Linked DNA regions of Alligator mississippiensis. The protein of the gene in region 3 interacts with the protein of the main gene of each other region in a pairwise test. Links are inferred from orthologs where the notes say so. Each region holds a gene or a part of one and is shown on either strand. Other genes may lie near its edges.

Region 1 (3,748 bases), on a different chromosome or scaffold from region 3:
TGGCCCTCACACTATTTTTGTGGGGCTCCAAAAGTAGAAGAATGCTATGAGCATGCACACAAGCCCCTTGGCATCACAAAGGCACATTCTCCAATAGGGGGCTGCTCCTTTGTTCCCCCTGCCACCAGGGGGGCCTGCCAGTGAGAAGGACAGGCTCAATGACAGGCTTTCTTTCCCTCCCTGTCAGCTGTTCCTGGAGTGGAAACAGGTGATGGGGCTACCCACAAGCTGCCTACAAGGCAGGAGCTGATTAGGTCATCTTTGTTACCTGATCAACCCTTGCCAGGACCAGTGGGAATGGATAAAACACCTGCACTGTTACAGTTTGAAGTTCACAGTGCTTCGGTGGGTTGCTGGTGCTCAGTCAGGCCCTGCTGCTGCTGCAGCCTTGTCATCATTGCTGCCTGGCAGGGCCAAAGGCTGATCAGGTAGTTGCCTTGAAGGGGGAGAGGGAGCATGGAGCACTGTGGGACACAGGGGGTCAGACTCAGAGAGACTGCCCAGACCTTACACTTGTCATGGGAAAGCTCCTCACGGCGAAGAAATCGCTTTCTGAAAGAGCAAAGTTTTTGTCACTTTACCTGATATTTGTGCAACATATTGCCCTTCATTTTTAGAAGGGCAAACAGCACAAATGTATAAACATTTGCTTTTTGTCTCACTAAAAAAGTGCTTATAGGGTGACAAGTGTAACATGGGTCATGGGGAATGGAAGCAGACCCTGCAGCCCCAGGGTGGCCTGCTGTCCAGCCCTGTCCCCCTGCACCTTGCTCTCCCCCTTCGGCTCAGAGGCAGGTGGCCTGCCTGGCGATGGATTTGGGTGGTACGCAGGGTGCGTGGGTGCCCCAGGCTCCAAAGGACAGAGTTTGATAATGATAAGCTCTGGTGACCCAGGTGAGGATAAGGAGGCCCTTGCTGCAGGACTTGCCCAAGGTGAGAGGCTGATTGGACCCTCCCCTGCCTCTGCTACAGGGTTCTGTGTGGTGCTGGCCCATTCTTATCTCATTGCCTGGATTGGCTTGGCTTTGTTCCTACCCATTTAGCCTTTGTTTATTTCTCTCTCTTAGCACTGCTCCCTTCCCCTGTGCCCCCATCTCTCTCTCCCTCCTACACCCCTTGTCTTTTGTATTCTAATTTGGCAGTGTAAAAGTGATGTTGTAGATGGTCCAGAAATGTTGCCAGAGGCAAGGATTTCTGAGGGTGGGATCTTTTACTGGACCAATAAAAAAATGTCACCCTAAGAAATCCTTGCCTCTTTTATTCCAATTTGTTCCATACTCTGCTTTCTGGACCTCCTTTCACAGCATCTGATGAAGTGAGTTTCAACCCACAAAAGCTTGTGCTTGCTTGCTCCATCCATCCATCATCTTACTGAGTTGGTCTGTAAGGTGCATATCCTCCCCGCCTTCTGCCTGACGCGGGGCGGGGCGTGCGGAGGGAGGGAGCCGGCGGCTCCGCCCTGCCCCGCCGCAGCCCGGCTGGCGCCGCACCTCCCTCTGCAGCGGCGCCCGCCCCGGGGCACCTGCCGGGCCGCCGCAGCCATGAACCCGCTCTTCGGCCCCAACCTCTTCCTGCTGCAGCAGGAGCAGCAGGGCCTGGCCGAGGCGGAGCCGCTGCTGCAGCCGCTGGCGCTGGCGGGCGAGGCGGCGGCCGGGCCGGACGTGCTGGGCGCGGAGCAGCCGCCGCTGCCGCCGCCGCCCGCGGCCATGGCGCTGCGCAACGACCTGGGCTCCAACATCCACGTGCTGAAGACGCTGAACCTGCGCTTCCGCTGCTTCCTGGCCAAGGTGCACGAGCTGGAGCGCCGCAACCGGCAGCTGGAGAAGCAGCTGCAGCAGGCGCTGGGCCGCCCCGCCGCCGCCGCCGCCCCGCGCCGGGACCAAGCCGTGCAGACCGGCCCCGGCCCCGCGCCGCCCGCCCGTCCCCTCGCGCTGGGGCTGGGCTCGGGCCCCGGCAGCGCCCGGCCCCTGCCCTTCCGCGCCCTGGGCTCGCCCGGCTGCCACCCCGGCGCCCCGCTGCCGCCGCCGCCCGCCGCGCGCCTCCTGCCCGGCACCATCTGGTCCTTCTCGCAGGCGCGCCGGCTCGGGCCCGGCGCCGAGCCCACGCTGCTGCAGGGGCCCGGCGTGTCCTGGGTGCACCCCGACGGCGTAGGCGTGCAGATCGACACCATCACGCCCGAGATCCGCGCCCTCTACAACGTGCTGGCCAAGGTCAAGCGGGAGCGCGATGAGTACAAGCGCAGGTGCGGGGTGGGGTGGGGGTGGCAGGGCTCTCCCCCTTCTCCTTCTCCAGGTCCCTGCCTCCCTGGCACCCAGGGGCTACTGCCTGCTCTTCCCCATCAAGCCCAGAGTGGGTGAATGTGACTCCAGGCACTGGTGCTGTTGGACACCCCCCCCCCCAGTTACTAGCACGGGGGGCTGGCAGGCAATGGGGCTGGAAGGAGAGGGGCAGTGGGTGCAGCTGAGCAGGCTCCTGTGACTCTCCAGTGAGTAGGTGTCGGAGGCAAGGTCTGAGATGCATGGGTTGTCCTGGAGGGTCCCAGTTGCTGGCCTCTGTTTCCCTTCCTCCTGCGGTGCAGACAGGCCAAGCAGCCCTCTGTAGCCTAGTCCCCTGGCAAGTGTGGGGAGCCCTGCAAGGCAAGGGTGATGGATCCAGGGCTTGACTTGTCACCTGGCAGGAGGAGAAACAGCCCCGGTGGCCCCTGGACATTTTGGTTCTGTTCCAAGTTGGCCCTTCCTTTAGTATAACCAAGGTGGCAGGGGCTCTTTTTCAACAGCTGAGCTTTACCTTTTAAAACTGGTGTCTGTAATGAGATTGGTCTAGGGAGTGGCAGGGCCCAAGGCACAGTTGGGTATAATTGGGGCCTGCAGACACTTTAACACCCCCCCCCCATGACCTATTTTTAACATCTTTCCTTTATGACATTTTTGGGAGGTTATTTTTTTAATGTGGCAAAAGGGTTAAGCAAGCAGACAGCATCTGCTCAAAACATGGGCCACTGAACTTCAGCTTCAGCCTCCACTTCAAGAACCAGGCCCACTGAACCAAAAGGCATGAGCCTTTCTCTTCCACTCCGTGGAATGGCAAGGTAGGGTAGGTAGACCCTTCTGTGAAATACCTGCCTGGGGCCCAGGGAAGGTGGGCTGGGCTGGGAACCAGGTAGCAGGGAGTCAGTGCGCCCCTTTCACCAACCGCCTTTTATTTCCCTCCCCCTTCCCCTTCCTGGTTCTTTTCTTGGGGCAGCCAGCTATCATTGCCACCCCCTCCCCCCAGTTGCAGGGTGGAGGACAGCCAATTTGTCCAATACCAGGCCTGCCCAAGGAAAGATGGACTGCAAGTCTCTTTGCCTTTCCAAATGAATCTGACAAAGCTGAAGGGGCAGGGTCTTTAATAGGGATATTTCAGCACCCAGGCCATGGGCAGTGAATGAGATCAGGCCGGCAGGCAGAAAAGAGGCTCCTCCTTGTGGTCCAGGAAAGGCTGGATCCCCAGGAGAGCTGGTGTCTGTACTTGACACTCCATCATCAGCCTGCTGTGCGGTGTTTGGGAGGGTCACACCAATCATTTTAGAGGTTTTGGGGGCCTGCCCTATTTTTTGTGGGATTTAGGAGGATGGACTGACATGTGGTTGGGGTACTTACAGAGGGTTCAGCAGAGGCAACGTGTACACGTGCACCCCCTGAGCATGGTAGTGCACCCTCTGCAGGCAGTCACCACTCTCCACCTCACTGCTGACACCGCTGGTGGC
Region 2 (3,748 bases), on a different chromosome or scaffold from region 3:
CACGCTGGTACAGAATCTTCACAATGTTCTCTAAACCAAAGTGCTTGAAACTTTAATAACAGCGTCCCTTTTAAACACAGCTCTTACACATGTGGAGATCATCCCCTTGATTTCTGATAAACATACAAAGGTGCATTAGGAGCTGAAGCAGACATAAGCATCATAATTTGCTACTCTCCCATGAGCACCTTGCTTCTGTCAAATTAGACCACAATCCAGACTACTTTTTAAATGCAGGCTTTTTTGAAAACACTGCTTCCAGCTACCTGGACACTGGTTTATTACCAAACTAAATCGGCTTTATTAATGATGAGTCCCAGTTTCTCCAAGTGACTCAGCCCAGAGCCCTGCTGAAGTCAGAGGGATTCCAGGTGGGAACGGAGATCTGCCTATAGAAAGCTGACCGCAGGATTGGGGTTTAACTTCTATTTCATACAGTATTTTTAAATCAACTGAAAGGCAAGTTTTCCTAAACTGAAATCTGAAACAGCAACAACTATATCTTCTGGCTCATTGCCATTATGCAGGCACAGAAGCTTCTACAAGGTAAGGAATTTAATGGATTTCTTCACAAACTCACATTATCTATGGATTCTTCCATAACCTGTATACTTTTCAAACAGTGCTAGCTAAATGCTCAAGTCCTCCTTTGGCAGTTTGTTTGGTCAGTGTCTGATTTCAGTTAAAAAACCAAGGAGGCTTCTTTGCTCCAAACTAGTGGTGCGTAATAAACAATGCATTTTGAGTCATGCTCAGAAGCAAACAAGTTAAGGAACCCCACACCTGTAATGAAATACATCATTATCACAAAAGCTTTTTCATTTCCCACAGTAATGCTTTCTGTCTTGCAGATTTCTCTGGCACCATTGGGGTTTTTTGTTCCCCTTCTACAGCACAATGGCCAGAATGATATAGCAGTAATTGTGAAGTACCTACTGTCCCTGGCTAGTCAGCAATGGTTGTTAATTTTCATATGTACTTAACTATAACAACATATTCTAACCCATTTCTCATGTGAAAAAGGTACAATTTTACAGAGAACCCTAACTTAATATTTTATTCCTCAGGAATGCAGTGTGCATTGCCAAAAAAAAAAAAAAGAAAAAGAAAAAACTAACTGGAAAGCATTTGCAATTATTATTTGCCCCCAACACAGAACAAAATGAAGTAAGATTCACAAGAAAAGCAAGACCGCTAAGAAAATCAGAGGGAGCCCATTCCTGTGGACAGACACTAGACTGGAAGATAGGATTTCCGAGTCCCCTTCCCAGGTCTTTTACTTCTGTAGCATGACCTTCACTCTGCGTAAAGCGCTCTGAATGGAAAGCACTGAAGAAAGGCAAACCATGTATTCCGACAAAAATAAATAAGAGCATAAATTTTTTATCCTGACAAAACTCAGCGACACGTTCATAGGCTAACAGAAAGGCTGAACTCCTGCTAAGTGTGACTGAACCTTCCCCAGGATGATCGGCCGCACCTGCTTTGCAAACAGTTTCTACTGCATATTTTGTTTGCCACCTTGAACAAGCACGCTGATTTCACTAAGACTTTGCGGGCCAATACTGCGACGAGATCCCCCCCGAGTCAACCCTGCATGAAGTGCTATCGACTTCCATGGTGGCACAAGGCACAAGTTGCCTACAGGGTCCCTCCGCGTGGGTTTTCTTTCTTTTTTGTGCAGCAAGGTAATTCCAACAGGACAGAGAAGCCTGTTGTCAGTGAAACTGGTTAATTATAGCAACACCTGATGTCACCTCAACCCAGTGGAAACCATACCAAGAGACAGAGGTTGCTCTGATCTCATCCATGCCCTTAATTTCACTGCAAAAGCCTGACAGAAGCAACAGCTAGCAAGGAACGTGTCTTATTCATGAGAGCCCTTGGACGGCTCTCACGAGAACATGAGCACACACCCCAGGGACAAGCCGGAGGTGCTACAGCCCCCAGGAACGTGCCACGCCAACGTTATCCTGGGAACAAAAGGATGCAGCAAAGCCGCTGACACATACCCTGGACCTAGGGGAAACCAGCTCAGTCAGGGATATGGGGACTCAGAGCCTGGGTCAGGGAACAGGACTGACTCCCCCAGGCGCCGCCAGCTGCAGGACCCTGCCCATCCTCTCCCCCCACCCATTACCGTTGCCCCGCACCTCCCTGCGCCCACTTTTGGTGCCCCAGACGGCCCCGCCACTGCCCCGGGCCCTCCCCCCTGTAGCTCCTGAGCTGCCCCCCGCTGTTTAAGGCCCCCTCAGGGGGAGCAGCCGTTAGGGTCCCCGCGGATTGGTCCGCAGCACTCGCGCGGCAGCGATCTCTACCAATCCCAACCCCGAAGGGAGGGTGGGGGGGTCGCCTGGCCCGCAGCCCCCTCCTCATTTAAATTATATTTACATATGCTAACACGGGCCGCACTCACTGTTGAGGCCCGGCTCGGCGGGGGTGCCCTCGGCCGGCGGGTTGTTGTTGTGGTGGTGCTGGTGCTGCGGCGGCTGCTGGGGACAGGACATGGCGGCGCGGCGTCGGCAGCAGCAGCTGGGAAGCCTCTGGGCTCGGGACAACAACAAGCCGGAACCCGCTCGGCTCCAGCAACCCCGCCTCCCTCCACAGCGCAGGCACAGCTGGGAAGCCCCGCCCCTGCCAACCGCGCAGGCGCCGGGACGCCGTGCGCGTCATGGCATGAAACTGCGCATGTGCTGTGCCATCCAGTCACGCCAGGACAGGCGCCCGGCAGCATGCAAGCGCTAATCGGCAGGAGTCTCACTGCGCATGCGTCGCATGGGGTGAGGGACAACACCCCCAGCTCAGATCCGAATAGGCAAGAGAAAGGGGAGGGGGCGGGGCTTAGACCCAGGCTGTCTGCTCTGGGCCCTGGTGCAGTGTTTTCCCTGCAAGGAGGATACAGGCCAGAGCAGTGCAAAGCTCAAGGGAAACGTAAGAGATTTCTAGAAATCACCCCAGTTCTTTGCAAAAGAAAAACTAGGCTTTTTCTTTTTTTTTAACCTAAAAGAAAAAAAAAATAGTGCAAAACAGAACAGCAGGCATGTTCCAAGGGGTCCTGCACCTCTGAAAAGCATGTAGTGCACATGCAAGGGGCAATAACTCCTCCCCGTCTACCTGCCTTTATAGCCAGTGGTGATCAACCTTTCCGTCTCCCCCTTCAGTTCAAACAAATGATTTTCTTACTCCTGCACCGGCTTGTGATCCATGTGGTACATCTACACAAGACACCTAATGCCCATTAGACTAATTCTACTGCACGTTAGTGTGGCTGGCAAAAAAATAATTCAACTGTGCTAGCGCACAGTGGAATTGGTCCAATGGACATTAAGTGTCACCAGCAAGCATTCATCTGCACTAATGCGCAGTAACACCAATTATAGTTCATTAAGTTAATAACAACAGGTACTAACTAAATACACTGTAATGGTGCATTAATGAACATGTAGACATACCCATGAAAGATCAATGCCTGCCTTTTCTCCTATACTCTTCACTTACAAACATTTCCATTCGAGGAAGACGGAGAACAAAAGCAGCATAACTTGAAGCCCTTCCCTGTCATCAATCCAGCAGTCTTAAAGTGTCAGAATGTGAGTTGTACTTTTACTCTCTTCATCCCCACCCTAAAACATTTATACTGCAAGTTTTAATACCCTTACAGATGGATCCAGACTGCTGCAACTGGAATCTATTTACTCTGCTTCTAATTTCATAAAAAGCAATTCCTTCTTTATCTTCACGTTGCACA
Region 3 (3,748 bases):
GACACACCCACGTGTGTGTGCTCACAGGTACTTTTAACAGAAATATGCACACATATGTATATACTCTCTCCGTGTGTGTGTGGGGGGGTAAGTGCTCACACATACACATACATATGCAAATATAAGCATATATATATATATATATATATATATATATATATATATACACACACACACACACACACACACACACACACACACACACACACATACATATATATTGTGTGTATATATACATACATACATATAATGTGAGTATGTATATATACACATACTGTGTGTATATATACATATATATACACATACTGTGTGTATATATACATATATATACACATACACATACATATGTGTGTGTGCATGTATATATAGATCTGTGTACACATATACACAAACACACATATACACATATAGATATATTTACACACGTGTGTACATAGACATTTTTGTACATGTGCGTATATATAGGTCTGTGTGCATGTATATACAAACACACATACACATTTACATACATATACACGTGTATATACACACACCTCTATGTATATTTGTGCATGTATATATAGATCTGTGTGTATGTATACACACACACATACATATGTATATATACACACACACTTACATATATATGTAAAATATATTTACATATATATCATACACACATAAATATAAATAAGCACATATCTTATATGTGCAAATTACATACACAAATATATGTACTCAGATATACACATATGCACTGCATATACATGTTTATGTTGTATGTATGCACGTACATGTCTAGATATATACCTGTGTTTGTATATATGGATTTTAGTTTCTATGGCAGTTTTCATTATAGACTGCATATGTATGTATAAGTAATATATATCTATATAGACATATAGATCTACATCTATAGCTATATCTATTTATACATACCTCTCTATAGATATATCTATATAGATATATACATAGAAAGACGGCGTGTGCGTAGATGTCTATGCTTATTAAACATGCACACACCAACTCACATATACATACCTAGAGTACTCCTATGTCACTAGAGTACTCCTATGTGCATCTAGAGTACAAATGTGCATCTAGTAAATACAAAGTGCATTGTCTACGCCTATAGAGACATTGCTCTGTGTATGCCACCGCACACACATCCACTGTTGGTTATAGGAAGGAAATCACTCCAAACTGCTGGCATTTGACAACCGATCACGCAAGCACGTAAAGGTTAAACCCAAATTCAAAACACGGTTGGAAAACCATGGTCTGAACCACTGGGTTAAGTCCCCAACAGCGGCTTCAGGGGGGCTGGCGGTACTTTGTGGGGGTGTAAGGATTGCTTGCTGAACACTGAGAATCCCAGCCTACCCTGGACTCCTTTCCTTTTCTGTCTGAGCCCGGCATGTGCCCTGCGGTCTGCTGCCACCGCGGCTGCCCCAACTGGGTACTACCGAGCAGGCTCCAAACGCAGCCCCCCCAGCCAGGCTGCAGAAGTGCCCAGGCAAAGTTGCAGGGAAAGCGATGGCAACACCTTACCTTGTTGAGTCACCGTATGAGACATTTCCTTGTGCAGCTGCTGAGTTCATTCCCCAGCTGAGCTCTTCTGCTGTCAAACCCAGGAGAGAGAGAGAGAGAGAGAGAGAGAGAGAGAGAAAGACCTTGTTGGCAAAGCGCTGAGAGCAAAGAGAAAGGGGGGGAAAATACAGTGATGAGGGGCAGCAAATTCCTTCTTCTATCACCAACCTCCCTTCTGCCCCCACACCCCCCTCACGCCCAGCCAGAGATGCAGACACAGTCTCTGCCAGGGCTGCAGTGGAGTGCGCTGGATGGGGGATCTCCCATCTTCCCGCATTGTCTCTCTCCAGCAAGAGCCAGGCAATCTCATTTCATGGGAGAGACATCTGGTTCGATTCAAAGGGAAGAAAGGGGGAGGGAGGGAGGGAAGAAACCCTTGCAGGCTGGGAGCTGAAAAGCTATTTTCAATGCTTTCCCCCCATCGCCCTTCATTTCAATAAGAAAAGGGAGAGGGGCCCAGCAGTGGCCTCTCTCCCCAGCATCTCTAGATCTGGAAGGAGGAGAGAGGGAGGTGTTATTGCCATGGAGGGTGTCCCCCCTACCTCCCCTCCCCTCCCCTCCCCTCCCTTCCCTTCCCCCAGGCCGGAGAGCTGCCAAGTCCCCCTTCTGCACAGCCTCCTGCATGGGGGCAGGCCCAGGAGGCAGGGATGGATGTGGGATCTCAGGCCTGATCCTTTTGGGGCCTTGTCTGTACGTGCAGCCCAGCCCCCCTGCCCCCTCCTGCTGCTGCGGACCCCAGAGCGGGGTGTGCAAACAAGTGGGGGTTTCCATCTCCTCCCCCCTTCCCTCCTCCTCCCCTTCCTACTCTGTCCCTCCACGGAGTCACTCTGGATTTACACCCCCACAAAACAGGGCAAGCAGCAGGCCCCTTCCCCGCTCCTCCCCCCATTTATCCCTCCCAGGCACTGGATTGACCAGCGCAGCCCCCTCAGCAAGGATTAGGGGCCTATTTTGTCGGGACTGGGATGCCGGGAGCTTAAGTGATTTGCCCAAGGTCACCGGGACGGCCGGTGTCTGTAACTAGGTCTCTAGGGTCCCAATCTGGTGCCTTATCCCACCGGGCCTCCATCTGTCTGTGCACCCCACGCCTGAAGTCGCCCTTCTCCGTCCATCCACCATCCCCCTCTCTTGCTGTCTGCCCTACATCTGCAGCAGAGAGCTCCTCTCTCTATCCACCCATCCAGGCTACATCCATCCATCCAACCTCCTTCTTCATTCATGCTTTCTTCTTCCTTCCTTTCCTTCTGTCTCCTTCCTTCCTGCCTCTTCTTCCCCTCCTTCCTTTTTTTTTTTCATTCATTCTTTCTTCTCTTCTTTTTCTTCCTTCCTCTTTTCTTCCTTTCTTAGTTCTTCCTTCTTTTTTCATTCATTCTTTCTTCTCTTCTTTTTCTTCCTTCCTCTTTTCTTCCTTTCTTAGTTCTTCCTTCTTCTTTTTTCATTCATTCTTTCTCCTTCCTCCCTTTCCTTCCTTCTTGCTGTCTTCTTTCATTCATCCTTTGCCCTTCCTCTTCTTTCCCTCTTTTCTCCTTCCTTTCTTTCTGTCTTCTTTTTCTTCTTTCTGTTTTTCATTCATTCATCCTTTCCCCTTCCTTCCTTCCTCCCCCTTTCTTTCTTTCTTTCTTCTTTTTCCTTCCTCCCCTGCTCTTCCTTCCCCTCCCTCCCCGCTCCTCGAGCGCCAGCCAAGGGGGTGTGTGCGCCGGGCCGGGAAACTACATCCCCCAGCAGCCTCCGGTCCCCTCCGGAGTGTCAGCTTCATGCTGCAGCCAGGGAATTTAAAACAAAAGAGTTTCCCCCTCTCTTTCTCGCTGCCTCCCCTCCGGCTCTCCCCAGCCTCCCTGCCCCTGCCCCTGCCTCCCGCGCCCGCCGCCGGCTCTTTTGTGCGCTGCGGGGCGGGGGGGCGGCCGGGATCCACCTCGGCGCGGAGCTCAGGTTACAGGGAGAGGCAGGGAGAAAGGGGCTTGGCCAGGCGGAGGGGAGGTGGGCGGAGGGTCGCCGCTTCTCTCTCTCCCTCTGTCTCTTTCTTTCCCTCTGTCTTTTTTTTTTCCCTCTCCCTCCCTCCCGAGCTCTTTGTTCCCCCCCAGCCCTCCCCTCCTCTCCCCCCCCCCTCCCCAACCAGCCCCCCTCGCAGCCTTTGTTAGCCATGCCTAGCCTGGTAGTATCGGGGATAATGGAAAGGAAC

What was found.
Region 1: the proteins of LMNA (region 3) and IFFO1 interact in binary tests that used the Homo sapiens proteins (3 or more experiments, as listed by UniProt). The link is inferred for Alligator mississippiensis from reciprocal best matches to the Homo sapiens genes LMNA and IFFO1.
Region 2: the proteins of LMNA (region 3) and BNIP3L interact in a two-hybrid assay, tested with the Homo sapiens proteins (2 studies listed by BioGRID and IntAct). The link is inferred for Alligator mississippiensis from reciprocal best matches to the Homo sapiens genes LMNA and BNIP3L.

Annotation. Positions count from the first base shown.
Region 1 is NC_081824.1:243,421,916-243,425,663, reverse strand, and holds the start of IFFO1 (non-homologous end joining factor IFFO1), read left to right. Parts: upstream 1-1,480; 5' UTR 1,481-1,541; coding exon 1,542-2,242; intron 2,243-3,748. UniProt on the Homo sapiens protein: Nuclear matrix protein involved in the immobilization of broken DNA ends and the suppression of chromosome translocation during DNA double-strand breaks (DSBs).
Region 2 is NC_081830.1:23,570,395-23,574,142, reverse strand, and holds the start of BNIP3L (BCL2/adenovirus E1B 19 kDa protein-interacting protein 3-like), read right to left. Parts: upstream 2,605-3,748; 5' UTR 2,508-2,604; coding exon 2,417-2,507; intron 1-2,416.
Region 3 is NC_081838.1:17,279,243-17,282,990, reverse strand, and holds the start of LMNA (lamin), read right to left. Parts: upstream 2,867-3,748; 5' UTR 2,774-2,866; intron 2,046-2,773; exon of another isoform or gene 1,601-2,045; 5' UTR 1,531-1,600; intron 1-1,530. Other genes in the region: RNA-binding protein MEX3A, read left to right, coding at 3,710-3,748.